3 linked regions of the Lonchura striata genome follow. The protein of the gene in region 2 purifies or fractionates together with the protein of the main gene of each other region. This does not show direct contact. Links are inferred from orthologs where the notes say so. Each region holds a gene or a part of one and is shown on either strand. Other genes may lie near its edges. The genes, in order: DHX8, CRNKL1 and CCDC12.

Region 1 (10,124 bases), on a different chromosome or scaffold from region 2:
CAAGATCCTCATCTAAAATTCACAAGTGACAATTGTAACAGAAAAGTTAAACATCTTTGGGGTACATAAAAGTGCCTCTTCAAATAACGCTTCCTGTGTATTCTTAAATATGAGGTACTTAGGAGTTTTAAATGTGAAAACACTACAAATAAAAATGCACAGACAGGGCACACCCAAATGCCACTAATAATACAGGCAGAGGAACCCCAGTTGACAGCAAATTGTGAGACGTTTTATAGTTACTTCTATCATCAATATATTTTTGAATAAAAATACATCCAGAAGGACATGGAATAGTAAGACTGCTGAGAAATACTACCTTCTTCATCATCAACTTTAGGAAGAATCCCAGTCTCCTCATCAAAGTCAGGAAACTCTTCCTTGGAAAGCACATTAGCTGCAATCATCTGGGAACAAAATGAATACACCATGAATATGTCCCCATGAACAAACACAAGTCATGCCTATGACTCAGTTCTAACCCCATTCCTGTAAAACAGGAACAAAGGAATGGTCCTGTATCCTGTATCCTCCCCATAACTCACCCATCCTCTGACCAAACACTCCTTCTGTTACTCCAAATAGCAACTAAACAATCCCAGATCACAAGCCAGCAATTGTGAGTTAATGAGTAAGTTACACAATCAATTAATCCAGGAGCTGTATTTTAGCTCATTAAACTCCCTGGCAACTTTATCACCTTTATCTTATTTCCCTGAATGCAGCACAGACCTGTTTTATCTCCCACTTCTCTGGGTCAGAGATGCGGGTGAGGCGTTTCCGCTCCAGGCTGTCGTCCTCCACCTCGGGGGCGCTCACCAGGGACAGGTGACTGGGTCTGTCCGGGTTCCTCATGGAGGTTTCTTCGTTGGTTTCTCCAACTAGATTCCTTCTACGGTTTGGGTTCAAGTCTTCCCCAGTGTCTTGATCAACATCCTACATCAGATGGATTGATTAATCAATCAGCTCTGCATTTCTCATCTATTAACTCTGGTGATTTCTAGTGGCAGTAACATCCTGTTCACAGAAAATGCTGGTTTTTAGCTTTTTGGTTTTTTTCACCTGGTACTGCCAGGTAAGAACATCCTCAGGCATGGAACACTCTACTCTGTCTTGGCAATAGTAGTGATTTCGTTTAAAATTAAAAGTTTCTCTCCTACTGAAAAAGGAAGACAAACAGCAACAGCTTGAGGTTTGCCTTGCCTTGTCTCTTTGATATCATATCAAGACAAGAAATTGTTAGGAACACTACATCAAAACTAGAGAAAATGTGTAAAAAGTAATAGATCATTTAAATACAGAACAGTAATTCAGTTTTTAACTCCCAACTGAATGGCTATGTATTAATTTTCATCAAAAAGAGTGAAAAATAGCTAGAAGAGGAATCATTTTAAGAATTTTAGCACCTCTGTACCTTCATGCTCAGGCTTGTTTTGGATCCAGTAAAAGATAACACTTTGACTTTCACTCTTTGTCCTTTGCTCACAACATCAGCAACATTGGCAACCCGTCCTTCTCTTCGCAGCTCTGAGATGTGCACCAAGCCTTCCCAGCGCTTCCTAGGAGTGAAACAGAGGGGCATGAGAGGGGCACACTACTGCTCTGACAGCCCTTCAGATCACTCAGAAACTACATTAAAATATGTTGCTGTCAACAGATTGTGTATGTCCACAAACTAGTTTTAGTAACAAGAATTTTCTAATTCTCTACTGTTAAACTCACTTTCCTGAAACAGCCCTTCAAAGCCCAGAACAACTGCTGGTAGCTTCATCACATCTTTAAGGTACCAGCAGAAAAGAGACCTGAGCTGAAACAGATCTGCAGTAAACAGCCAAGGGTACCTTAGTCCTTCCAGCTGCACAAAGCACCCGAACTGCATTATGCTTGTGACTTTGCCGTTGTAGATGTCCCCGATGGACGGCTCCTCAGCCGGTGGCCGGTCTATGTGCTTGTCTCTCCACCTCTCATGGCTCTTTTCAAGGTACTTCTCCCGATCCCTGCGGTCCTTACTGGGACTCCAACTTCTGCTCCTCGACCGGTACCTGGATTTTCCCCTGTTCCTGTCCCAAGTCCTGGAACGGGACCTGGAGCGAGATCTGTGCCTTCGTTTCCTGTCCCTGCTACGACTTCGGCTCCTCTTCCTTTTCTTCGCCCTAACAAACCAAATTTAGATCTCTGCAGTGGATTTCACCTCAGGCAAGGAGAGCAGCCAAGACCTTCCCCCTTCCCCAAGACTCCTACCGATGGTCGCTGTCCCTCTGCTTGTCCTGCCTGTCAGCACTGGGCATCAGAGCTTCCAGTTCTTTCAGGGCATCAGCTGCCACTTTCACATCATCTTCATCCAGCATATTCTGCAAGAACAAAAAACTGATGCTCCTTTCTGCAAAAGGGCTGATAAAAAGATTGTCACAAAGAATTAATCTACAGAATTATCATCATATGTGTACCTATTTAGAAAGAATGCAAGATAAAAAAAGATCAGACTCAATATGTGATAAAGAAAGAAAATAATAAAGCACTCTCCCTGTATGGCCAAAATATTGAGACAATTCTGCTTTTATACAATAGAAAGTTCCATCTCAATGCCTCAGATTGTTACAGAAATACAAAATGCAAGTCCCTCATAGCATCTGAATATACAACATTTTTAATTAGTTTGCAACACATCATTACTTTGAACATTATGTAAGGAAGGCCAGGCTACAAATTTCATGCCACAAGAGTCTCATCCTCCACATATTTTGCAAAACAGTATGAACATGGCAATTGCTAACACCTATTCTTTGCAACAATGTGCAGTAACACCAGCCTTCTACCTCTTCCGTATTTTATTTCTCAAAGTTCACATTTATTCATGCATTAGACAGAGAAAAAAGGTTGAAACTGACTGGGGGAAAAAAAAAAAAAGTTTTCACACAGTCACAAAAGAAATCTGAAATTACAACCTTACCCTGATGTTGGGATTGTCTGGCCTGCAAAGGGCTGGATACAATTCCCTCAACTTTTCTTTCTCGGATTTGGGTTTGACAACTGCCTCTAATTTTGAGATTCAAAAAGAAGAAAAAAAAAAGCACAATGAAACACAAAACTCAGAACTGCTACAACAATTCACTCTTCGTTTTTCTGTAATTGAATATAAAGTTTAATTTTTGTCTGAACGCAAAGGCTGATACAGCTTTTACAGAGATTCAATTCAAGGAATACCGTGTTGCCTTCCTTCAGAGAAAATTCTGATTATTAGTGAATATTTGAAAGACTGACCACTCTGAGCAGCACCCTCAGAATAACAGCAGCAGCAAGCATGGTGCAAGAGGATTTGCCTTACAAGACTACAGCAGGAGCTGCACCAGTCTCACCCCACCTACCTTTGCTCGTGGATGGTTTTGGTGGAGGCCGCATCGTCTGGATGAGACGGAGCAAGTTACTGATGAGGGAATCCTGAAAAAAAATCAGTAAAATACTTCAGGAAATGACTGCAACACTTTCATTATTACAAGGCACGAGTGGGGGTTTATTCGCAGAACAAAATATGCTCAATTCTGAAGATGCAGGTTGATTTTTAGAAACTATCACTGGGCTTTGTGTATGCCCTAAAAAGGCGTAAGTTGAACTCAAGTCACTTAGATGAAATTATCCTAATTGTCTTTTTCTGTTAATAATTTTAATCAACTATTCAATCCAAGCACAATTATTCCTGAGACATCAATAAATACAGCATATAAGCATCCTAAGAAGACTTATGATATCTGCCTTCATGAAAAGTTGTTTCTTCCGTATTTTATATGCTCAACACAACAATAAGCAGCTTGAGTCCTCAGGAAGAGGCTTTTCAAAGACTACAAAATTTTTTAAAAATACGAGGAAGGGGAAGGCAGAGGAGACAGGAATATCAGAAGCTATTTAGTATGCAGTTTTCCAATTGAAGAAAACCAATAGTAACTGCTCATAACTCTCTTTAAATCGGAAAGCTCTATAAAATATGGCACAACAAGAATAACACATAAACAAGGTTCAGGCGCCACTTACAGTGAACTCAGCACCATTCTTCAGAAGAATTGCTTTAAATGTGTCAAACGTGGTATTTTTCTCGGCAAGACTTATGACAAACTCGGCTGTGAGGAAAAAGCACAAAGTAAACTGAAGCAAGAACGTAAAAAAGCAGAGTAAGGACTGCACGTGTGGCAGAAGCCGCTCTGGAGGTGCGGGACCATCCGGGCCCGGGGAGCTGCTCCTCGGCTCTCCCCGGCAGCCCACATCGCAGCGTTCCCTCAGGCTCACAGGTTTTGGTTTTTTTTAAGAAAAATACTGTTTTTTAACGAAAAGCACCTTCACAAAACGCACCCGGCCGCGCGGAAAGGGCTGCTGCGGCCCTGAGCAAGCCCGCCCTGTCCGTGCGCGGAGCTCGCCGCGCCCGCCCCGCTCACCCAGGTCCTTGTCGTTGATGCCCAGGTGGTTGTCGAGCTCGGTGCAGACCTTGGACACCAGCGACAGGTACTCGAGCTTGGCGAGCTCCTCGGCCGCCGCCAGCTCCGCCATGGCCGCCGCGGCCGCTTCCGGGACGCGCCGGAAGCGGGGCCGGGACAGCGGGGCGGGGCCGGAAGCGGGGCCGGGACAGCGGGGCGGGGCCGGAAGTGGGGCCGGAAGTGGGGCCGGGACCGGGGCCGGAAGCGGGGCCGGAAGCGGGGCCGGGCCGGAAGCGGGGCCGGGACAGCGGAGCGGGCCCTGCCGGGATGATGAGACCGAGCCGTGCCGGGCCAGCGGGCGGGATTTGCTGGGCACCGAGCCTTGCTGGGCGAATCGGCGCGGCCGTGCAAAGGCTTTCCCTAAACCAAAGCGGAAAGGCGCTTCCGTCCCCAGCGAAGGCCGGCGAGCTGCGGTAGCCCGAGTGTCGCGTTCGGGGCACGCCGGGTACGGAGCAGAACGGCGGGGGGAGAGCCAGCCCGGGACTTGTGGCTCCGCTTCTGTCCCCGACCCCGCCGGGCACGGCCGAAGCCCCGGCCCGAGGAGCTGAGTGCGCCCCAGGCAGCGGCGAGGAGCGGCCGGGCTGCCGCGCCCGCCGCCCGCGGCAGGAGCTCGGCTACGAACCCCACCCCAGCGCCTGTGCTCGCCCGAAATGAGACACAGAGGTCACATCTGCTCTGTAGAATATATTATAAATTATATCATGCATCCATTAGCAAAATATACAAAGCCAACAGAAATATAGCTATCTTAAGCCTGAGCATACAGCATCTAAACTCTAGGAAAAAGGAGCCTAAAGAGAACAGCATCTCACACCTGCCACTTCAATCTGCAGTGAAGTGCTCCACTTCAAATGCTTTAGTTTTGTACTTTATAGAACATATGAACATCCCAAATACAAAGGTACACATGGCAAACGTGGGTCCTGCTGGGCCTGACAGACCCCAGCAAATATAAAACCACACTGTGCTTCAAAGTCTCATCAGCTTCTGCATTTCACCCCTGTCCGTCCTCCTCCTTGCTCTACAGCTGGCATTAGTAAAAAGATACTCAAAACAACACACCGAAGGTGGAAAGTTACAGAAGGATCTTTAACTGGTCCACAGCACATAGTTGTACTGGTGTACAGAGAGATGGGAAACACTGCAAAATACTTCTACTGTATTTCAAAATAAACATTTAAGAGTATATCTTCCACAATCTATAAAAATAGGTTTAAAACAGAAGTGGTATGATACATTTGTTTTCTTCAACTATTTCAATGGCATTTTATCTCTATGGGTACTAAAGTCTTTTTAAAAATTATTGATAACCTGGTCAGCACAATACTGACACTGTGACAAAACGGAATACTAGTTTGAAGCAGGAGCAATATAAAATACTTCAGAATCAATGGTCTCTTACTGCAGCAAGGAAAAAATGTTTACTCGAAAGTAAGAACATAGCCAACACTGTCACCTGCTGAGGGACTGAACTCTGAGGAGTTATCTGGATACCCCACTGCACAGCAGTGGCTGGTGCTCATTTATGTCATTCTTTAGAATCAAATCTCTCAGCATATTTAGAAGGAAATTCTTAGATTTCCAAATTAAATCTGGGTATCTAAAAATCTTATAAGAAAATGAATTCTACAGATGTGGCTATGGAAACACAGGACCAGCTAAAACCATCAGAGGAGACTGTACATTTGAAAGTGCTTAAGTTAATGCATTTTTCAAACTCTAATGTAAAGTTATGTGATCCCTGCTTCACCCATTCTTTCCATTCCTAAACATTTCCAAAATTTGTACTCCAGTTCAGGTCTGGGTTCCTACACATTCTTGCATTTTTTTAATGTGGTATTAACAGAGTAAAATGTTTGCACTATTGTGAAAAAAGATAATGGTCAAATTTTTTATATTTTTACTAAGAGCCTGTAAAGATTCCTAGAAAATGCTTTCCTACCCTGACACTCCATTTTTAACAAAATGTTTTATGTAGGTTATACTTCTACTATTAGGGATCTGGTGTGCACTATCATTAGAGGTTCAATTGCTGGTGGTAATTCTCCTGCTTCATTCTGCTACAAGAAGCAACAACTTTACTGGAATTCATCAGTTGAACTGCAGTTACACTTTTAGACTTTTCAAAAGTCATTTGATGATTCAAGATGGCTTTCTTTTATGAGCAACTTCTTTTTCTTAGAATAATTTTTAAGATTTAAATTTGTCACTTTACTATCAAACATTGGAAAACCAGTTACTAAATCCTCAGAAGAAACAACCTCCTAGTTGCAGGCATCTCTTGTAAATTAAGCAGGACTACATTTTAGAGCAGCATTTTACACCAGTTTCTATTCCAAAGCTAATTAAGCCGACAAATTTCCAGCTGCCTAAAATAAAAAGTATATACACAATAAAATGGGAAGTTCTCATCTGGGTACAACATTTAATTCTACATGATTACCTGGTAAAAGGATTTGATCTGAAATCAGAGATTTGAAGACTACTCATTTAACTAAGAGGTCCAAATCATAACTGAAATTCTGGTATCCATTTCAAGAGATGCCACAAGGATTGTTTGACATTTCCATGAGGGTAAAAAGAAAAAGAAGTCAAATGCTCAAAGAAAAGCTGAAGCTTTAAGTCAAACCTCCAAACAGAGCAGCTGAGGAGCAGCCTGCTACTCTCGCTATCTTTAATCAGAGTTTACTCAATGAAGAATATTCCTCTCTCCACCAGGCAGCTTTAGCACCTACTGCACCAGTCTCTGTTACTGATCTGAAGCAATTCAGTCACCACTTCAATCATGTTATTGTTGTGTTTCTTCAGCAGCTGCAGGTTTAACTGCCTGTCACAGAATCCCATCTCACACAGACTGGACAGCAGAGAGGCAGTCTGCTCTTCTGGAGCTGCAGGCTGCTGAAAACAAAAGGGAGTAAGGTTAGTTTAAAAAGTTAATTTATTTTTTGCCATTTGAACTAGCAGCCCTGCATTATACTAGAATCAAACTGAGGCACAGAGGCTCTTCTGGCCCCATTTAAGCTATTTATAATCCCTTTCACTGCTCACTTATGAAAGTGAGGTATTACTCTTACATAATGCTACAAGAGGCATGCTTTCATCCCTAGGGCAAGGATTTCCCAGTCTGCTGAGAGAAGCAAACCTCAAAGAGACACCATCAAACTTAACATTTTACTCTTACATTAACTCCAATATAGAATATTGATACACTTAAAAAACATACACCTGTAAATTGAAGGTTATCATTCTATGGTACTCACACAGCACACAGAAAGACATTCACCTGTTCAATAATGGGTGGTCCAGCAAATAATGCTTTGTAGGCAGAAGCAGCAACTGACAAAGCTCCTTTCACGAGTTCTCCTGCAATGCTGCTGCCTTGAGGGTACCTGTGAGGAGACCAGGTGCTGCTTTAGGGTCAGTAAAGCCAAGGGTTTGTATCAGTGAAAGGCAAATTGCTGCCTGTTGAGGCAAAGACTGTTGGAGACAACAGCCCGTGATCCAAAGGAATCAGCAGTGTTTGGGAAGTGAGCTGTGCAAGAAGCTCATTCCTTTTTCTTGACACCTCTTATTGAATTGTGGGTGTATGCTTTCCATGAAGGGACCTTTTGTAAAGAGTTCAGTGCTCTCATCTAGAAGAGAACACACCTACATAAAAGCTGTGCACTGACACATCCATTCAGGGTAGGCTAACTTCTATTTGTTTTCTATGAATACTTAAATTACTTCATATTCTACTCAACATTTTGACTTACCTCTCCAATCTCAGTATTTTAAGACTACTTTATAGCTAGCTTGTAAAATCATCATCCTAAGAATGCTGAGATTTTCTAGAAAAAAAACCCACAGAATTTTAGAAGCATTCAACTCAAGCTCTTCATTAACTTTGGCTTGCCAGTTCTGCATCCTTTTGATTTGTGCCCAAATAGAAACCAAGATCTTGTGAAAACATAGCATGTTTGCTTTAAGAAGGGAGGCCTCTCTTAAATTAGTGACTATATGAAATCTGTAGGCCAGAGCTTTTTCCTAGGTGTCTAATTAAGCTGTTCTCAGTCTAAAATAGTGTTTGTGAAGTCAGAGCTTCACCTTCATTACCTCGGGTATTCTGTGAACTTAGTGAGAAATGCAGAAGATCCTGGCCCATGAGTATCTTCACCACTGGGTTCTGGAAGAGGAAGACAAAATGTCAACATGTCCAGTTAATGACAATTAAGCTGGAGAAATGCCACACATACATAAACAGAAAAAAGTGTGTCTCAGTACAACAGTAATACTCTAAGTTTAGTTATGTAGACCAGGTATCCAGGATTCTCACTGCAGTGAAAGCAGTCAGAAGATTTTCAGAACCATATGACTGATTCATCAGTGGTGTTTAACACAAGAGGAAATGCTGTCTCAGTGACTGTAACAGCAGCTTAAATACATAGCTCATCAATTCCATAGCAAGGGATTTTTCCAGATGCCTGTATGTACTTTTGAGTATCTTCTTACCATTTCTCATAATAGATGCTCTTAACTGATCTACAAAGTCAATTATTTCTTTATTTGCAACATCCACATAGCAAAAGTTCAACACCTAGAGAAAAACTAAAATCTTTACTTGATAGATTTCTGCTCTCCTCAAAAGAAAGGAGACATCAAATTCAATACTAGGCATAAGGAATAGATGATAGCAATAGTCTGCACCATTTAAATACTGTCAATACCTTCTCTTTGTATGTGATCATGAGAAGCAGAAGAGATACGCTCTGAAGCTGGTGTGTTTGATTCTTGGAAGATAGAATTCTGAAGAGATGAAAGATTCCTGAGAACATAAGGCAAAAACATCACTACTTTTTTTCCACATGTACACACATAAATAAGTCACGATAACAGAAAAAAGAAAAAACTTCACATGCTCCCATCTCTCCCTCTCTTGCACTCACCTAAATCAGTGAGTTAAAAATATAGAACCTAAAATACAGAGCCTAAATCAAGTTCTATAAAATTGCAGGATTTAAGAACATTTAACTCAGTATATGATAAAATTTTTGTTACAATTCCTACTTGCAAAGCACTAGACCTTGCAGACTCTACAGCAATACCAGCATCACCATTTTGTTCTTGTCCCCAAGTCATACCTTTGTGCCTGGGGTAAGCTGTCCACATCTGCTGGGGTTAATGGTACTGCAGCCATTTGGGAAGTTGTCACTGTATCACTGACCCTCTGGATCTGTGGCTGGCTTCCCCCTTCTGCGTTCTCTGCTACTGTTTCAGGTTCTCCTGTCTTTTCCAAACCAGGCTGAGAAAGAGCTGAACTATACATGGAGTCACCCAATGGCCGACTGGTGTCAAAGCACTCAGGGAGAATAATGATGTATTCCTCTGAGGAAGCAGAGGAGCACTGACTCTGAACATCATCCTTATCATCTTCCTCTTCATCACAATTGCTAATACCACTACGGGGGCTTGTGCTCTCATTAGACAGTAGAAGGTCCCCTAGTAGGAAAAAAAGTGAGGTATTACCATTGTCCATTTTGTATGGACAACAGCAGAGACACAATTCTCCTAGCTGTAAGAGACAAGTATTTAGAAACAACTGTAAATCTTAGCTGCTGCATTAATGGTGTCATTTTCCCTGTTGTGGGGAGGGTGTAGTGTGAAAGTGTAATAGATCTTAAT
Region 2 (9,163 bases):
TCACAAACAGTTTTTTAAAATATAAAACTATTTCACAAGTTCAGGTAACAGTCTGCCATGGGCAGTTCAGCCAGGGCCACCAGAAATACCCACTCCTGATTTTGTTATCAGTGTGTTTCTGAATGAATTGGGATAAAATGAGTTTGGCTTTTTCCCTCCCTTATGCACAGAAGGGAAAACTGGAAGAGGAAAAAGTCTCTGTATTTAAATAATAAATCCTGTAGCATGTTAGTAACACAGAGAATATTTAGTTCTTGGTTTTCCTATTAAAATATCAGCAGCTATTTACTATACAAAAGGGAAACCCTGAATTGTCACTACTTGCCTTTGCCTCCAGCTCCTCATAGAGTGCATAGTTAATCCAGAGGTAGATGTATCTCTTCCAGTGGCGTTTCTCCTGGATGGGGGGCACGTTGGCAATGGCTCTCTCATACACCTCCCGCACAGTCTCGGTGTCCGTGTCGCTCTCCACCAGCCGCAGGTAGTCAAACCATGCATCGTAGTTGTGGGGGTTTGCCTTTCAGAGACGGGAATGGGGCAACAGCAAACAAGCTGCAGTCACTAAAACTAACAGAGCCTCATGCTTTACTTAGTCAGAATTTCCCCTTTAAAACAGATCACTGGAATATTAATGAAAACTGTCAGTCTTGGGGATGGTTACGGTAGAGCTTTTAGCTTAGGAAAAGTGACTTTTCTTTAAATTTTGTTTTTGTTTTGCCCTCAGCATTGTCTCAATGAAGGCAGTCCAAGCAAAGTGTCAGAAGGGATGAGGAGTGATGAAATGTGCAGTGTGGACTGAACAGCAGACAGGTGTGGCACAGGTGTTTTCTCACTAAAAGGTATTTATGCACAGGTGAGGTGTCCTATAATGGATATTCCCTAAGTAGTAACCACAAGCTAAACTGCATTATCCTTAAGGGTACCAAGCCTTGAGTTCAATCCAAAACCCTCACCTGCACAATCTAGATTAGAAAGCAGAAACAAAAAAAGCAGTGAATTTAGATACCATTCTCTTCCCCAGGGATGGAATTCTGTCTCTAAAATGAATATTCCCTTGGTGTTTTTTTGGACTGACTTTCAAGGGTAACTTGAAACTCATCAGCCTTGATATCACAAAATACTCGTGTCCCTTAAACACCAGCTGGCTGTACAGTGAGCCTGGAGGGTACCTGTCCTACATACCTTCACCTCCTCTTCATACTGAAATCTCCTCTTGCTGACAATGATGTCCTCAATTCCCCTCCTGTCTCCAAACTTCTTCTCAAAGATGGTGTAATTCTTGAAGAGATTCTGGGCGTCCTGCTTTGGAATTCTATCCAAGGCATACTTGTAGATAACCCTCACTCTTTCAAACTAAAAATATTAAATATAATTTCATAAATATTTACAAAGCAGTTTCTGTCCTCCCTGACAGCATTTCAATGAGCTTTTGGCAATATTTAATAGAATACAGAATGGTGAGACATTCCAACATAAGCAATTGTTTTAAAAGAGGACTAACACAGATCTCCCTGAAGAGTAAACTCTGAGGGGGAAAAAATAAATCTGAAAATGCCAGCCCCCATCATCTCTTATTCATTTACAGGTTTAGAATATTTAAACCAATTTAAGAGGTTGTGGTTTGGGGTTCACAGAATGTCTTCAATTTCATAACAGCCTGGGAACCTTAGAAACTGTGAAAAACATCTAGACCAATCCAGTTTTCTATCATGCAGGCCCATAACCTCTCAGAACCCCTCCAGTCTGAGGATACATGTTTGAGCCAATGCTGTTGGTCCTGGGCTTGGCAGATCTCCCTTAGAACACATTTTATTGATGGCACCAAAAGGCAACTAGAGGTGAGCAAAAAACTGTCTCCCTAATTCAGACTACAGTCATGAGGGGCTGAGAACTGCAAGTACTGCAGTGAATGTTAAATGCCTTTAGTTTGATATTCAAGGAGAAACACTGGCATGACTCAGATCAAGAAAAACTTACTTCTTTCTGGTTCTCCTCAAACTTAGCAAATGCCACATACAAGTGCTCATCCATGTGCTCCTCCCCGAAGAACTCCACTGCCCTCTCATACACCTTTCTGGCGTGGGCAAAGTAGCTGTGCTTCTCCTCGAAGTGCGCGTATTTGATCCAGTTCTTCACGTCAGGGTGAACGAGGACAAGTACAGCTATTGTTAAAGAAACAGTGCTGGCCGAGTGGCACATCCCCAGCTGTGTTCTTCCCAGGGACTACTGGGTCAAGGACTTCATCAAACACCTACCAGGATGGTACATGTGGGGAACAATAAATGCAGCTAGGAAGAAGACACTGACAGGTATAAGCATGCAAAGGTTTTGTGCCTTACTGTGAACTTAAAAAAGGATAAGGGTCAGGGAATATCTGAGGAGAAACAAACGATAGCTACAAAAGAGCTGGGTGCATGAGCAGTGCAGTTAAACAGACACTGTTGTGGTACAACCTGCAGCCACTCCACTGAATCTGGAGGCTTTCCCTAAACACGCTTTTAACACCTCCTGCTGGTTCCCAGGGTGGTGGGTCATTCCCAGCACACCACAGTGAAAAGGAGTACAGGGACGTTGCTGGACATGGAATATTTAGGAAGGAAATAAAGAATGGAGACCTTAACTCAGGCAGGAGTCACAAGACTCTGAAAAGGATATATCTCTCATAAATGCCTCGTGCTCTGTCCACCTCCTTGTATCTGAGCTCAAAGTTGATGTAGGAATGCCAGGCTTGCTCCTCTGGCTGCCACTCCATCCACCGTTCAAACACCTGGCGTGACCCAGCGACATTCCCCAGCATCTCCTCCATGTATGTGTACTTGTACCTGGAGAAAGGAGATTGAGTTTCTGCAATCACATGGGGAACATATCCATTCAGGGATTTCTGGAGTGCTTCCTAAGAGTATCCCTGAGCTCCCCTCACCTATTTCCTCCCACCCCAGAAATGTCTGTAAGCACAGCAGTGACTGGCAGTATCCAGGCACACAAACACCCTTCTCTCCCAAGGCTCTTACCACTTAAAAAGTACAAAACCTTTCCAAAACTTCAGCTTTCCTCCATTTTTTTCAGACCAGCCTGAAGAGAAGCAGGATAATCTGTATAACCCCAGAACAGCCAAATACTGTGGGGGTCTTTGGGGCTAGAAGGGGATCTCACTGCTTGGCCACCATACCAGAACTGGTTCACCCTAGGCAGGGTGGTGATGGCCCGGTCCCAGATGTTCCGGGCATGGTTGACCTGGCGGTTCTTCATCTCCATCTCGGCATATTTCAGCCAGAGGGTGACGTTCCTGTAGTCCACATCCAGAGCACGCTCGTAAATGGAACGGGCTCTGGAAAACATGAGTACAGGGCAGGTAAAATGTGCCTCCTAGACTTTAGTGTGTGTCTAAAAACGCCCTTAAGATATGCCTACAGTCACATCATCATTACCTCTGTATTTCCTTCAGGCTTTCCTCCCATTGTGCGTACTTTATCCAGTTACTGATAACAGTCCTGTTCTTTCTTATGTTATCTTCAAAAGTCTGAGGAGAAAATTTTATCTGTAAGTCAGAAATCCTTGTGCAGACAATTCACATCAAAAATGGCTTATGGGGTATTATAATAACCATCAGGAATATGCTTGCTTAGCTTAGGTACTTTCAAAGCAAAAAGCCAAGCAAAACCATGGGTAAATCTGCATGAGCAAAGCAATTCTTTCAACAGAAGATTTATAACTCAGCATTACTGTAGTGTCATTTACTGTCTTTGTTCATATTTTTATAGTGGCTGGCCAGATACTGCTGGTAATGAAGAAAACTCCTATTAATTGTGTAAATAATTACCCTTTCAGTGTTCTGAACACAGGCACAGTTTCAAGCAACACATCTGTAAATTGCAGGTTCTGCTAAAGAGTAGCATGAAAAAAGGTTTTAAAGAATTTGTGTTCAACTGGAAAGCCCACAAGGAATAGGGACTACATCTTGTTTAAGTTAAAAACAGTGGAATTTTAGTGCTTTATATGAGTGTCAAGATTAAACCGGTTTTTTTTTCTTTTTAACTGTACCTTCCTCTTCCGGAGTTTATAGTCATTTAGCTCTTCAACATCTGTGATCTTCTGCTGCGGAGGCGGTGGGAGAAGTTCGAGTTCCCTCTCCTTTGCCTCTCTCAGAAGCTGCTCCGCTGTGATCTGAACTTCGGCGGGTGCCTTGTTTTTCACCTGCAAGGTAAGGACAAGGGGGGCTCGGCTCACATTTCTTAACGCAGTACCGGCACGATCAATTTCCTCCGGCGCCTCGCGAAGCGCGGTGCCCGGCGCGGGCGGGGTCGGAGCCCGCCGGGACGCGAAGCCCGAGACGAATGGGTATCGAGGGGTCCCGGGGGGTCCCCGCCGCCCTCCCCGCCACCCACCTTCGCCACTTTGGGGATGCGCTGCTTCCCCGCTGCCGTAGACGCCATTTTTCCGCCGCTGCGCGCGCCGGCCCCGCCCCGGCACCCCTGACCTCACGCAGCACCGCCCGAGCGTCGTTGCCGCGGCAACAGCGACGCGTCCCGGTCGGCGGCGGGAGGGCGGTGGGATTGTCCGTTCCGTCCGTAGGACCGCTCGGTCTGTCTCGTCCGTGGGCTCAGCTGTTCCATCTGCGCTGTCTTTCCTGTCCTTGGGGCGCTCCGTGGCCACTTGGCTCTGCAGCGCCGGGGACAGGGCAGGTGAGTGCGCGCGCTGCTGGCCGGGCGATGCACGCGCTCGGCGGGGCGCCCCCTGGCGGCTCGGCGGTGTAGGTCTGTCCGCGTGCGTGGGCGTGGCCACCGTGCCTGAGGGGGCTCGCGGCCGGGGGTCCTGAGGCCGCCTCGGGCGTGTCCAGCCCCGGTGTCCAGCCCCGGTGTCCAACCCCCGTGTCCAGCCCCGGTGTCCAGCCCCGGTGTCCAACCCCGGTGTCCAACCCCCGTGTCCAGCCCCGGTGTCCAGCCCCGGTGTCCAGCCCCCGTGTCCAGCCCCCGCCGTACCGCCCCGGGTCCGACTCGGTCCGGCTCCGCCCCGCCCCAAGTCACCAGGGGTGCCCCTCAAGAGCCTCCCGCAGTAGCCTTCCACAGCTCTTCGCAGCCCTCCCGAGGTATGTGGGCTACAAACACCAAAGAAACCGCGTGGAGTCTTATGCTTCAAGAGAGCGTTTGTGTGAGGAGGCGGGAGGGAAGTGCTCTGAGTGCGGGAGGGGAACGCCCTCCTCTTCTTGTTCTGCTGGGTGTCTCTGGGATCCTGCTCCGCGGGACGAGTGCAGAAGTTACTGTAGGAGCAGCGTATTTCCTTACGAAAATGGTACATTTTTACTGCTTTCTCTGGCTGTGGGAGCGTTTTGGGGAGCCGGTGGAGATGCGTGTATTTTTTTTTTTTTTTGGGGGGGGGGGGGTTAACTTAAAAATTGACTGAAAACGTAGCAGTTTTCCTCAGTTGAAGTCATCTTAGTGCGCTAAACCTCAGCCGATGAATAGCCCTTTAAAGTTCGTGTTAGTTTTCATTTTTAAAATTGACGCATGTTTGCAGAGGATGTGTTCCTTCAGGTTAATTTCAGGACCTGCGTTGACGCTGGAATGTGAAAGATGTAGGAGTGCATGTAACTCTGTATTTAAAAGGTGTGAAAGTCCGAATTTCTTTTGGTTTTTCATTTTAGTTAGGAATTGAGGTGCTTGATAACTGAGCATCACATTTGCATTTGGGGTCACTGTTGGAAGTGGCTGTTGTGTTTGGCAGAGTGGTGGAATTGCTCTGCTGGTCCAGGTGTGTTGGCTTAGATTTTTTTTTTTTTTTTAAGTTAGTACTGCTATATTTTGCATATGAATTTTAAGAAATTGCGGGAAGCCATTGTTTGGTCGCTTTATTTCACGTGCTTGATTGTTGACTGGGTCACAGCAGGCTGCAGTACTGAGCGGAGACACAGAGACACAGAACTAAAGGGTGTTAGACCCGAGGGAATGGTCACAAGTGGTTTGAGGATCTGATGCCCCGGTGTGTTCTAAAGTTGCTGGACGGATCAACATATCAGCTGTGCCTGGCACATTTTCTCAATGTGGAGCCATTAAAAAAAAAACAACTTTTTTTTTTTTTTTTTTTTCTGTGTAAGAAAGCAGTAGAACTTTGAATAGCCACAGAACTTTGAATTCCTTCAGAAATTTAAGCCTTACTGTTGATCTCAAAAGAAATCCGAGAAGGAGTTTTGGACAAAATACAGTGAACTCATGTGAAACTGCTGTTTAATTGGAACATTGTGTACCTGGTTGTTTGCAGCTGAGTCTCCAGCCTGCTTCCCCTGACTGCCCACAGCTGAGCCTCCCACTGAAGGCCTTTGAGTTTGAAGTTCTTGGTGATGAGCTGGTTAGCATGCTAATGAATAAATAGGAAAGCAGCTGTAGCCTATTAAAACAATTAATTTCCTCTGTAGGATCCAGACCATAGGAGTAATTGCCTACTGCATTTCAGGTGTGCAACGAACAGGCAGTGCCTGTCTGTGTGGTGGTATGCAGGAGCCAGGCACCAAATCCATACAAACTGCCCCAATTTAGAGTTTTTATGAAAACCCACCTGAAGTGACTGTGTTGGGCAGGGGATGGCAGTGGATGGCTGGAGCCAGAAGTGTTTTCCTTCGTTCTCAGTGCAGCTTGTGGGATGGCCACAGTAACTTCATCAAGGGGAAATACAGATGTGGTCACTGCCAGAAGGACAAAGTCACATGATGTCTCGGGCATTATCAGCCTCTTCAGACCTGTCACAGAAGACCTCTTTGGAAGGATTGATGTCACTTACCTTTTGTAAGTAATGGTGTTTTAGGTTGTCACCTTTCAGAAAATTACACTTAAAATGGCAGAAAACATTCTGACCCTTGACATGGTGTGGCATAATGATTTTTTGTGCTGCTTCTAAAAATTGAAAGAAAATCTACTTTCATGTCTGTCACATGATGACTGTGCAAACCTGGGTCTCTGCCATGATGGAGAAGGTTTAATTCTGTACTAGCTTCTTTTTGTAAAAGATCAGAAGAAATGCTGTTGAAAAAAGCTGTCAGCAGACAGGCTGTGTGATAGATACTGGTGGGTCACTTATGTTTTCCCCCTTAATAGCAAAAATCACGCATAACAGCTGTTTGGGGAAAAAGACATGTGTGAAGACACATACAAATGTTTTGAAGGGAATGTTTAAGTCTTGCATCTCAAATTTACTAATATGAGGATTTGAAAATCCTCCTGAATTTTTATGATGTTAGAGCACAAATGTGTGGAACTGAAGTAACAATTCCAAGTCAGCATGTGGATGGTGAAGTTTAATTCAGGCCTGATCCTGGGAACCCTCTTGAACATGGCTAATTTTGCTGTTCAGCAGGCTGAATTTGCAGTAAGTCACTTTTCTATGTGGAGTTTCTTTAACTTGTGCAAAATTAAATTATTTTCATAGAGAATTATCAAATCTTGCTTTAACACTCTGCAATGAGAAGAATGAGGTTATAGCTCATGCTGCCTTTCTGGACTATCCGAATTGGAATATCACTGATCAGGCTGAATGGGAACCATTCCTGCATGAAAACTACACTAACAATAAATGCACTGTAAGTAAATAGTGTGATTTTAGTTGAGTTTTCATTTAAGGTTCAGGTATGGAAAATACACATAGGCATCTATGATCTGTTTCTGGTAGATTTGAGGCATTCAGGATACAGAAGGTGATGGAGTCCTTGTCAAACCCTCGTGCTGACAAGGGGAACCTTAGTTCTGCAGAGAACTTTTTCGGTGCTGGTGGGGAGACTACTGCTCTGTGTCTTGCTGGCTGCTGGTGACTTTCACATGGGCTCCTTCGGTGAGCTTGTGACTTTCTGGTAGGATCTACAGAAACAGGCCCTTACAAGTTTAGCACTCAAATGCTCCCACATCACCAAGTCCAGCTGGGAACTAGATTGTGGAATTGTTGAAAAAATACAGAAAATGTTAAACCCCAAGCACTCATAAGGTGTGCAGCATGTGCCATTAAGAGGTGTTGGCAGTGCTGCAGTTATCTCTGGGCATTTTGTTCATCAGTTGCCTATGGTCTTCTGTAGTGTTAAGTAATGGCTTGAAGGTAAACTGACAAAGTGTTTGAAAATGTGTGCTCTTAAAGGAAACACCACCAGTACAGCCAAAGAGAGTGTGCAGAAAGGACCTGTGATTTCCTAGTAATGGACTTTGTCCCTTGAGCAGCATTTTGTGGACAGCCACTTCATTCAGGCTGCAGCTTCTCTGTGGGTTCTGCTGTGCTATGATCTCCCTCAGGCTGCGTGGTGGCTCTGTGGGATCTGGTGTAGGGGTCTGCAGAGAAAAGAAAAATGAATTACTGTTCAGAACCAGTAGTGAAAAATATCTTTAAACGGGCAGCATTCTATTTTTCTAGAATGGAATTTATTTGCTAAAGGAGGTGTAGAAGAGTCAGTGTTTTATGCTTCTGCATTGGCAGAAAGCTGAACATTTTCTGGCGTATAACTTGATGAGATGTCATTGGTAAACTGTAGGTTAAATCCATGCAGGTGTGCTTTTCAAAACTGAGGTCATCTGAATGTAGGAATTCTGTGAAGTATAGTTGACCTGTCTTTTTCCTAGAGTACAGAAATAATTTCAGGGTCTGAAGTGGGAGTTGAATTGTGCAGAAAGGGATAAGTGAAGATGCTGTACTGGATTGTCTGGTTACCAGCACTATCCAGAAACAGTTACAGTCCACGTCTGGTATACTTGATGTCCTCTCGGACCTCAACAGTAATATATTTTTTTATTTCTTCCCTTTGCTTCTAAAAAAACAAACTGCCTGATTTTTAGGGATGTCTTTAGATGTTTGTTAGAATAGCTTGTTGTCCTGATGCTGGTCCATGTACTGCAGCCTCTATTGAAATCATTCTTGCTCTTAAATTGCTGAAGTTTATTGGTGCCTCTAGCTGTGGTGTTTTAATTGAATATTATACTATTCAAAAGATCTCAGGTTTTACATTTAAATTATTTTTATCTTCAAGCAGACCTTTTCTGACCCAGGACTTGTAATTAATATGCTAGAGAACAGATGATTTAATAGCCTTTGCCATTCCAGCACAGGGGTTTTCCATGTTTAGTGGAGGTGCACAAGATAAAGGTGTCTGTTAGTCTGCTCTGTTTTTGCCTGGTATTTGTGTGTCTAATGATGTCAT
Region 3 (10,270 bases), on a different chromosome or scaffold from region 2:
GACCAATCAGAACCTAGAACCACACAAACCGAGTAGCCACTGACCAATCAGAACCTCGAACTGCAGAACCTGCAAAGCCTCTGACCAATCAGAACCTCGAACCGCAGAACCTGCAAAGCCTCTGACCAATCAGAACCTAGAACCACACAAACCGAGTAGCCACTGACCAATCAGAACCTCGAACCGCAGAACCTGCAAAGCCTCTGACCAATCAGAACCTAGAACCCACAAACCAAGTAGCCACTGACCAATCAGAACCTTGAACCGCAGAACCTGCGAAGCCTCTGACCAATCAGTGCCCAGCACTGCATCACCTGTGGACTCGCTGACCAATCAGCAGCCAGAGCCGCAAAAACCTGTGGAGGTGCTGAGCCAATCAGAGCCCAGCACAGCACAACCTGTGGTACTCACCGGCCAATCAGCTCGCAGAGCACCTGTCCCTGCAGCCAATCAGGGCACAGCGGGCCCTGCCCGGCCCAGCTGTGGTTGTGCAATGGGGACAGCGGTGACAGCGGGGACAGAAGTGACAGCAGGGGACCCACCCAGCGCCCCGGGGGCACCCGCAGCCCTGGGCACCCCAGGGTGGCACCTTCAGGTGTCCCACATCCCTGAGCACCCCGTGGGCCACCTCGGCGTCACCCACAGTCCTGGGCACCACACGTGGCACCTCGGCATCACCCCAGTTCCTGAGCACCCCAACAGGGCACCTTTGGGTGCCCCGTGTCCCTCAGCACCCCCGGGCTGCACCTTGGGGTCACACAGAGCCCCGAGCACCCCAGGGTGGCACCTTTAGTGTCACCCCCATCCCTGAGCACCCCAACGGGGCACTCTGGGGTCACACAGAGCCCCGAGCACCCCAGGGTGGCACCTTTAGTGTCACCCCCATCCCTGAGCACCCCAGGGTGGCACCTTTAGTGTCACCCCATCCCTGAGCACCCCAGCGGGCCACTTTGGGGTCACACAGAGCCCCGAGCACCCCAGGGTGGCGCCACATGTGTCACCCCATCCCTGAGCACCCCAGGGTGGCACCGTTAGTGTCACCCCATCCCTGAGCACCCCAACGGGGCGCTTTGGGGTCACACAGAGCCCCGAGCACCCCAGGGTGGCACCACATGTGTCACCCCATCTCTGAGCACCCCAACGGGGCGCTTTGGGGTCACACAGAGCCCCGAGCACCCCAGGGTGGCACCTTTAGTGTCACCCCATCCCTGAGCACCCTAGGGTGCCACCTTTAGGGTCCCTCTCGCCCCCGAGCACCCAGCGCTGCCCTTTGGGCTCGCTCACAGCCCTGAGCGCTGCACTGCGCCAATTTGGGGTCCCTGTGCACCCCACTGTGGCACCCTGGGGACCCCCACACCCTGATGCAGCACCTTGGGGGTCACCCCAATCCCTGAGCACCCCGAATCCCCCACATCCCGCGGCGTCCCCCCATTCCCACGGTGACCGTCCCCGCTTTTCCGGGATCCCGGCGCTCCGCCAGGCACCGCCTCGACGGGGGTGGCGGGGGGGGGACACCCCAAAATCCGCCTCCCCCGCCCTTCCCGCTCCACGCCGAGCGTCCCCCGGGCCGGGGGTGTCCCCCGGTCCCCAGGGCCGGTACCTGTCCCCGCGGGTGGCCGTGGCCATCCATGGCCCCGCAGCCGTGGGAGCGGCGCCGGCGCAGCGGGGCCGGAACGGGGTGCGGGGGGTGCTCAGGATGGGGGCCCCCCTTTTTTTTTTGTCACCGCTGTCGCTTGTGCAAAGCCACCGAAAAAGCCCCAGAGCCAGGAAATGCCAAGTCACCCGCGGCCCCGGCGGCGCTTCCTGCCCCGCCGCGGCCCCGCTCGGGGACCCCGCGGTGCCACCGGCGCCCCGCGGCGAGGAGCTGCGCTGCTTCATCCCGGAATTCCCGGCAAATCCAACCCCCAAATCCCGCCCGAGTGTTGAGCTCGCTCCCAAGTTCCCGGAGCGCCCACCGGGAGCTGCACCCCCAAAGTCCCGGTGCGCCCTCCCCGGAGCCGGTGCCCCGGAATTCCCGGTGCGCCCTCCCCGGAATTCCCGGTGCGCCCTCCCCGGAATTCCCGGTGCCCCGGAATTCCCGGTGCGTTCTCCCCGGAATTCCCGGTGCGCCCTCCCCGGAGCCGGTGCCCCGGAATTCCCGGTGCGCCCTCCCCGGAATTCCCGGTGCGCCCTCCCCGGAGCCGGTGCCCCGGAATTCCCGGTGCGTTCTCCCCGGAATTCCCGGTGCGCCCACCTGGAGCTGCTGTTCCAAAATCGCCGGGGCACCCGCGCGGAGCTGCATCCCGGAATTCCCGCCGTGCCCACCGGAGCGGCGCTCCCCGAGCTGCCGGTGTGCCCCGGTGCCGGTGGCGGTGCCACCCGCGGAGCTGTCGCAGCCGGTTCCCGGCTGGCAGAGCCTGTTCGGCGGCTTCGGGGCTCGGCCGGCGCGGAGCCGCCTGGGAGCGCCGGGAATCCGAACCGGGAATGCCAGACCGGGAAGGGGAACCGGGAATGCCCAGCAGGGAATCTGAACCGGGAATGCCAGACCGGGAATGCGAACCGGGAATGCCACACCGGGAAGGGGAACCGGGAATGCCCAGCAGGGAATCTGAACCGGGAATGCCAGACCGGGAATGGGAACCGGGAATGCCACACCGGGAAGGGGAACCGGGAATGCCCAGCAGGGAATCTGAACTGGGAATGCCAGACCGGGAAGGGGAACCGGGAATGCCCAGCAGGGAATCCGAACCGGGAATGCCAGACCGGGAAAGGGAACCGGGAATGCCACACCGGGAAGGGGAACCGGGAATGCCCAGCAGGGAATCTGAACTGGGAATGCCAGACCGGGAAGGGGAACCGGGAATGCCCAGCAGGGAATCCGAACCGGGAATGCCAGACCGGGAAAGGGAACCGGGAATGCCCAGCTGGGAATAAGAACTGGGAATGCCCAGCCGGGAATGCCAGACCAGGAATGCCAGACCTGGATGCCCAGCCAGGAATGCCAGACCAGGAATGCCAGACCAGGAATGCCCGGCCAGGAATGCCAGACTGGGAATGCCCAGCCGGGAATGTGAACCGGGAATGCCAGACCAGGAATAAGAACCGGGAATGCCCAGCCGGGAATGCCCAGCCAGGAATGCCCAGCCAGGAATTCAGACCGGGAATGCCCAGCTGGGAGTGCCAGACCGGGAATGCGAACCGGAAATCCAAACTGGGAATGCCCAGCCAGGAATTTGGACCGGGAATGGCCAGCCCGGAATGCCAGACCAGGGATGCCAGACTGGGAATGCCAGACTGGGAATGCCAGACCAGGGATGCCAGACCAGGAATGCCCAGACCAGGGATGCCAGACTGGAATGCCAGACTGGGAATGCCAGACTGGGAACGCCGCCCTTCCGCCGGGAGCCCCCAAAAAGTGACGGTGACAAAGCCGGGGGGATGTCACCCCCTGCACTGAGCGCCGCGGGTGACACCGGGTGACCCCGCGGGGCTGGCACTGGGGTCACGCTCCCGCCACCCCTGGGAGGGGTGGCACAGCACAGCCACCCCTGGGGACAGCCCTGTCCCCTGTCCCCTGTCCCCTGTCCCCTGCCGGGCCGGTGACAACAGCTCTGTCCTGCTTTGAAGCCACCGGAGACACCGCGGCCATGCCCGGGCCACCGGCTGGGGGTGGCAACAGGGACACAACCATCGAGTGACACTGCCATGGAGTGACACTGCCATCGAGTGACACCGCCATGGAGTGACATCGCCATCGAGGGGAGGCTGCCATGGAGGGGACATCGCCATTGAGTGACACCGCCATTGAGGGGACACCACCATTGAGGGGACACCGCCATGGAGGGACACCGCCATTAAGGGGACACCGCCATTAAGGGGACACCGCCATCAAGGGGACACCGCCATTGAGTGACACCGCCATTGAGGGGACACTGCCATCGAGGGGACACCGCCATTGAGGGACACCGCCATCGAGGGGACACCGCCATTGAGGGACACTGCCATCGAGGGGACATCACCATCGAGGGGACACCGCCATTGAGGGGACACTGCCATCGAGGGGACACCGCCATTGAGGGACACCGCCATCGAGGGGACACCGCCATGGAGGGGACACTGCCATTGAGGGGACACCGCCATTGAGTGACACCGCCATTGAGGGGACACTGCCATCGAGGGGACACTGCCATTGAGGGACACTGCCATCGAGGGGACATCACCATCGAGGGGACACCGCCATGGAGGGGACACCGCCATGGAGTGACACCACCATGGAGGGGACACTGCCATCGAGGGGACATTGCCATCGAGGGGACACCGCCATTGAGGGGACATTGACATCGAGTGACACTTGGAAGGGACACTGCCATGGAGTGACACCGCCATCGAGGGGACACCGCCATGGAGTGATACTGCATCGAGTGACACTGCCATTGAGTGACACTGCCATTGAGGGGACACTGCCACCGAGGGGACACTGCCATGGAGGGGACACCGCCACCAAGGGGACACTACCACCAAGGGGACACTGCCATGGAGGGGACACTGCCATGGAGGGGACACCGCCACCGAGGGGACACCGCCATCGAGTGACACCGCCATGGAGGGGACACCGCCATCGAGGGGACACTTGGAGGGGACACTGCCATGGAGTGACACCACCACCGAGGGGACACCGCCATGGAGTGACACTGCCATGGAGGGGACACCGCCATCACCTGGGCCATGTCCCCCCAGCCTTGTCCTCACCAGGGCCTTGGGGACACGGCTGTGGCACAGGCCACAGGGTTTTGCTCTGTGTCCTGGCTGGGAGGTGACACCGGGCTCTGGCCACGTCCCTGGTGCCTCAGAGGTGACACGGCCACCCCACTGGTGTGGCACGGCCAGCAGGACACCCGGACAAGTGGCACCTGTCCCCACACAAGCGTGGGTGACACGGGTCCCCTGTGAGTGCCCTGACAGCACGATGGGACCCTGCAGGGCCGTCAGCCCCTGGTGACACCGCACGTGTCCCCACGGACACGCCACAGTGTGACATGTGTCCCCTGCCACCACACACCCCCCTGACGGATGGCACCGGTCCCCATCCATGTCCCCTCTGTGACCACACACAGCTGGAGGGTGGCACCTGTCCCCTGGACACAGCTCAGCAATGGCACCTGTCCCCAGAGTGCCACGGCCACCTCGATGGTGTGGCACCTGTCCCCACCCAACCACGGCCACCTCAGTGCCCCCATGGCCACCCGGACAATGTGGCACCTGTCCCCAGAGTGCCACGGCCACCCCGATGCAGCGGCACCTGTCCCCGTGTCACCCCCCAGCACGTGGCCCTGTCCCCCCAAAGCAGGGGTGACCCCGTTTTGGGGTGCCGAGGAGGGTCCCAGGTGACATCGCGGGGCCAGCCGAGCTGACAGGCCCCATGGGTGTCCCCAGCCCGGGCCACAGCGGGGTTTTGGGGGAGCAGCTTCACCCCAAAACCCACCAGGGTGGGTGACAAGGGGGTGGTGACACTTGGGTGCCACCTCTCCGGCAGGACCCGCCCCCACCCGGGGTAATTCAGGACAAAACGACCACGAGCGACTTTTGGGGTGGCGCGGGGGGGGGTCCCCACCTAGGGACCCCCTTGGGGACATCCCCCAGGACTGGCAGAGGGTGCCGGGGGTCCCCAAAACCGGCCCCCGCCCGTCCGAGCCCGCTGTCCCCGCCCTGTCGCCGCTCCAATGTCACCTGCGCCGGGCGGTGGCGACACGCGGACCCCAAAAATCCTCCCGGGGGGACCCCCCAAACCCCCCTGGGGAGCGGCGAGAGGGGCGGGGGGACCCCAAATTCACCGCGGGATGGGCGGGTGGGGGGTGGTCCCCGCGGGATGCGCTGTCCCCAAGGCGGTGGGGGGGTGTCACGGGGGGCTGGGTGGCTTTGGGGACACCGCGCAGGTGACAACGGCGTGCGGGGGGGACACGGGGGTGGGTCCGGGGTGTGACAGCGCAGGGGGGGATGCGACAATGGGGGACAGGCGGGGATGGGGACACGGGGGCGGGGGGGTGTCCCCGGGGGTGGCGGCGGCGGTGGCCGTGGCTCACCTTGGCGAAGTAGAGCATCCAGAGCTCGCAGAGCCGCTCCCGGGAAGAAGCCATGCCCGGGGCCGGGACCGAGCGGCGGCTCCGCCCCGCCCCGAGCCCCCCCACCCCCGGCACCTCCCCCAGGTGTGTGTGTGGGGGGGGCGGGGACTCCCCTCCACCTGCTGCGGGCCCTTCCCCACCCTCGGCTTTCCCTTCCCTATTCCCGCATCCCCGCGCGCTCATTAATGGGGTGAGCAAGGCGAAGCCGCACCCCGCCCCAAATAATTAGCGCTGATTAGCGCAGCTGAGCCCCGCTCGCACTCGGAGGTGCCCTGCACGAACCGAACCCGACGCTTTCGCCTCGTTTTCCCCTTTAATCTCCTTTTAAAGCATCCCCAAACATTTAATGGGGAATTTTTCACCTTCCCCCCCCCCCCACCGCCACCCCAATCGCCCCCAATCGATTGCTCGCATCGATACGCTCGGCGCTCGGCACGCCCGGCCTGCCGCGCATGCGCGCCGCGCGCTGTACGGCAGCGGGGGACGCGGGGTGCAAGATGGCGGCGCCCGGCGGCGGCATGGACGGCGCGGAGGAGGCCGAGGGGTTCGTTCTGGGGCGGCTGGAGGCGGAGGCGCTGAAGCGGCGGGAGCGGCTGAAGGCGCTGAGGCAGCGGACGCTGCAGGTCGGGCCGGGCCGGGCGCTGCCAGGGCGGGGGAAGCGCTCGGAGGGGCCCCGCGGTGGGGCCGAGGCCGCGGAAGGCGCCGTGGGTGCCGCGGCCGGGCGGAGGGGCCCAGGGGAATTCTGAGAATTTTGGGATATTTGGGGTCCTCGGGTCTTTTGGGGTGTCAGAGGGGCCCCAGGTGGGTCGCAGTTGTTTGGGGTGTGGGGGTGTTCAGGACATCCACGCGGATCCCGAGTTTTTTGGGATGTGGGATGCGGGTAGTGTGGAATGGGGCTGGGAATGTTGGGGGTGGCTCTGGGATTTGGGATGCAGAAGGTTTGGAATGGGGCTGAGGATTTTGGGGTCCCAGAGGGGCTGGAATGGGGCTGGGAATGTTGGAGAGGAATGAGAACATCTCACGCAGATCCCGAGTTTTTTGAGATTTGGGATGCAGGCAGTGTGGAATGGGGTTGGGAATGTTGGGGGTGGGTGTGGGGATTTGGGATGCAGAAGGTTTGGAATGGGGCTGAGGATTTTGGGGTCCCAGAGGGGCTGGAATGGGGCTGGGAATGTTGGGGGTGGCTCTGGGATTTGGGATGCAGAAGGTTTGGAATGGGGCTGAGGATTTTGGGGCTCCCGAGGGTCTGGAATGGGGCTGGGAATGTTGGAGAGGAATGAGAACATCCCATGTGGATCCCGAGTTTTTTGGGATGTGGGATGCAGGCAGTCTGGAATGGGGCTGGGAATGTTGGGGGTGGGTGTGGGATTTGGGATGCAGAAGGTTTGGAATGGGGCTGAGGATTTTGGTGTCCCAGAGGGGCAGGGAATGTTGGAGGGGAATCAGAACATCCCACACGGATCCGTAGTTTTTTGGGATCCTCTCTTCTTTGGGTGGGATGGCATTTGAGGATTTTGGGGTCCCAAAGGGACTGGGGGTGTCACATCCCAGACGGATCCTGAGTTATTTGGGATGGGGCAGGAAGGGATTTGAGGATTTTGGGGTCCCACAGGGGCTGGAGATGTCCAAGGGTCCCTCATGGATCCTGAGTTTTTTGGGATGTGGTGGGACAGAGGATCGGCTCTTCCCTGCCCTCACCCCCTCCATGTGCAGCCTCTGGGATTTTTGGGGTGCTGCTCCCAGGGCAGGGTGGAATTCCCAATCCCACAGGGATTGAAATCCCGTGGCTGTGGGACCCGGATCAGTGCTGGCAATGGTTGGACTCCATCTCCAAGGCTTTTCCAACCTCGAAAATTCCAGGATTCCAGAACTCTTTTCCCATCACCAGCGGAGGCAAAATCTTGGGAAAAACCCCATTCCAAAAACTTTCCTTCTTCTCCTTGAACAGGATCTCCCCGTTTCCTGCCAGGGAGGGTTAATTCCTAAAAAAAACCTGGGATTGGCTTTTCCTCAATCTCCCCTGCCATTCCCATCTCCATGGCAATGTGCACGGAGATTTTCCCTAATTCCCTCTTTTCATCCCTCTCCATTAAAAAAAAAGGATTAAAGGCTCCTTGGGATCCCAAACCTCATCCCGGGCTCCTTTCATCTCCTGGAATTCCAGCTGGATTTGTCCTTTTTTTCCGGAGCTTTGGGATGGGATCCGTGGAAATGAGGAGTGACACGGAGCCTCTTTGGGATGCTGTGCCAGAATTCCCCTTGGGAATTCTCTTTCATGGGATGCTTTGGTGGGAAGGACCTTCAAGGTCATCCCGTTCCATGGGCAGGGAATTCCAAGCAGCACTTTGGTTTTTAGTGGAGAATTCCTGGTTTTCCAAGGATGGAAAGCTGAGAGGAGGAAAAAAAGAGTGGGAAAAGGAAAAATGGTAGGAAAGAAAAAGGATGGGAAATAAATTTTTCCAACTGATCGGATCCAGTATCATTCCAGAGGAATGGAGGACAATCCCAAGCTCTTGGAAAAGAGCTGGGATATAAAGGAAAACTTTTCCCACCCTGCTGGAAGATTCTGGGAGAGCTCAGCCATTCCTGGCCTTTGGGGAGAAATTTGGGAATTCTGTTGTGGTGTGGAAAAGGTTTGGGTTGAAATTCCTGCTTTATCAAACCTTGGAGAATCCCAAAATCCCGGATTTCTTTTGGGAAAGAGCCTGAAAGTTCCATGGGCAGGGAATTCCAGTCAGCTGCTGTGGAGCTCTTTGGTTTATGGAAAATTCCTGGTTTTCCAAGGATGGAAAGCTGAGGGGGGAAGAAAAGGGTGGGGAAAAATGGTGGGAAAGAAAAAGGGTGGGAAATAAATTTTTCTTTTGGGAAGAAACCTTAAACCTCACCCAGTTCCATGGGCAGGGAACCCAGAACATTCCAGGCCTGAAATCCATAGGGAAGCAAACCTGAGGCTGCGATCCCGGCAGGAATTCCAGGTTTTAATGGGAATAAACCCTGGATATTCCAGGAGGAGCCGCCCCAGGATGATCCCGAGCTGGTGAAAATTCCAGCAGTTTTTGTGGAGCAGCTCAAGGTCCTTGGGAAGCTTTTCCTGCTTTTTTTTTGGGAGCTGTTAAAGGCTTTTATCCTTTTCCTTTATTCCCCGTTGGTTCCGTTCCCTTTGACAGCTCATCCCTTTGTTTTCCTGCCTGAATTCCAGAAATCCAGGGAATGCAAATGATCCCAGCTTCAGATCTCTGGGAAACGTTTCAAGGGCAATGGATTTTCACTGGAAAAAAAATCCTTGGACGTCCAGGACTTCCTAAAAATTAGGGAGAAGCTGAAGGAAGGAAAATATCTCAGAAATATCTGGATTTTCCCTGTTTCTTGCATCCCTTGTGTTAAGGAATTTTGCTTTTCCTGGAGTTTTCCTGTCACTCTGGTGTCTCGTGGGTGAAATTTTGGGTTGTTCACGGAGAAACCTGGATTGTGTCCTGCCTGTGGAAAAATCCAGTTTTTCTGGGATTCTCTTAGGGTTGGAGGCACCAAAAATAGGGAAAAAGGGAATTTCTTCTGTCTGCTCCTTCAGTTTCCAGATCAGATTCCCTCAAGGAAAATTCTCCAAAAATATTTTGGTGTAAAAAATAACGGGAGAGGAGAATAAATCAATGGAATAAGGATGTTCCTGCTTGAAAATTCCATGGAAAAATGGGAAGCTGCTCCTTTGTCTGCAGTGCTCAGATTCCCTAGGGAATCCAGCAGAGGCTGAGCTGTGGGAAGGTTTCTTTGTGGGAATATATTCCAGGATTATCCAGAGGATTTAAGTTAAAATCTGGGAATTCCTGCTTTGGGATTCCCACTTTTCCTTTCTTCCCATGGAAAGTAGGGGATGAAGGACTTTTTCCCATAATTTAAGGAAAAAATTCCTTGCTGGGACAATATTTGGGAATTCCCATTGGGCACATCCTAGATTTCCAGTTTTTCCCCTTTTTATGTGAAATTCTGGGATCTGATGGCTCGAAGTTCCACTCTGAGGGAATTCCCAGGAAAATTCCCTGGGAATTCATCTTTTAAGGTCTATGGGGGTGCTGCTGATATTCCCAAAGGATCCCTCAGTAAAATCCAGGTGGGATCGCTGGCTCAGATTCCCAAAATTCCTAATCCAAGACCTCCACAGCTCCTTCTCCTGCCTT

Evidence for each region.
Region 1: the proteins of CRNKL1 (region 2) and DHX8 purify together in Homo sapiens (affinity purification with mass spectrometry; 3 studies listed by BioGRID and IntAct, counting the BioPlex papers as one, with this or other methods). This does not show direct contact. The link is inferred for Lonchura striata from reciprocal best matches to the Homo sapiens genes CRNKL1 and DHX8.
Region 3: the proteins of CRNKL1 (region 2) and CCDC12 purify together in Homo sapiens (co-immunoprecipitation; 3 studies listed by BioGRID and IntAct, with this or other methods). This does not show direct contact. The link is inferred for Lonchura striata from reciprocal best matches to the Homo sapiens genes CRNKL1 and CCDC12.

The regions. Positions count from the first base shown.
Region 1 is NC_134627.1:6,040,785-6,050,908, forward strand, and holds the start of DHX8 (ATP-dependent RNA helicase DHX8), read right to left. Parts: upstream 4,584-10,124; 5' UTR 4,537-4,583; coding exon 4,425-4,536; intron 4,113-4,424; coding exon 4,027-4,112; intron 3,439-4,026; coding exon 3,366-3,438; intron 3,037-3,365; coding exon 2,951-3,036; intron 2,352-2,950; coding exon 2,242-2,351; intron 2,154-2,241; coding exon 1,842-2,153; intron 1,560-1,841; coding exon 1,415-1,559; intron 937-1,414; coding exon 733-936; intron 408-732; coding exon 320-407; intron 13-319; coding exon 1-12. Other genes in the region: NBR1 (next to BRCA1 gene 1 protein), read right to left, coding at 7,188-7,361, 7,747-7,852, 8,559-8,628, 9,170-9,267, 9,584-9,941.
Region 2 is NC_134605.1:28,351,848-28,361,010, reverse strand, and holds the start of CRNKL1 (crooked neck-like protein 1), read right to left. Parts: upstream 4,520-9,163; 5' UTR 4,434-4,519; coding exon 4,386-4,433; intron 4,195-4,385; coding exon 4,042-4,194; intron 3,521-4,041; coding exon 3,429-3,520; intron 3,329-3,428; coding exon 3,170-3,328; intron 2,823-3,169; coding exon 2,656-2,822; intron 2,157-2,655; coding exon 1,978-2,156; intron 1,354-1,977; coding exon 1,183-1,353; intron 518-1,182; coding exon 326-517; intron 1-325. Other genes in the region: CFAP61 (cilia- and flagella-associated protein 61), read left to right, coding at 6,634-6,776, 7,417-7,567. UniProt on the Homo sapiens protein: Involved in pre-mRNA splicing process. As a component of the minor spliceosome, involved in the splicing of U12-type introns in pre-mRNAs.
Region 3 is NC_134603.1:155,998,127-156,008,396, reverse strand, and holds the start of CCDC12 (coiled-coil domain-containing protein 12), read left to right. Parts: upstream 1-6,574; 5' UTR 6,575-6,595; coding exon 6,596-6,721; intron 6,722-10,270.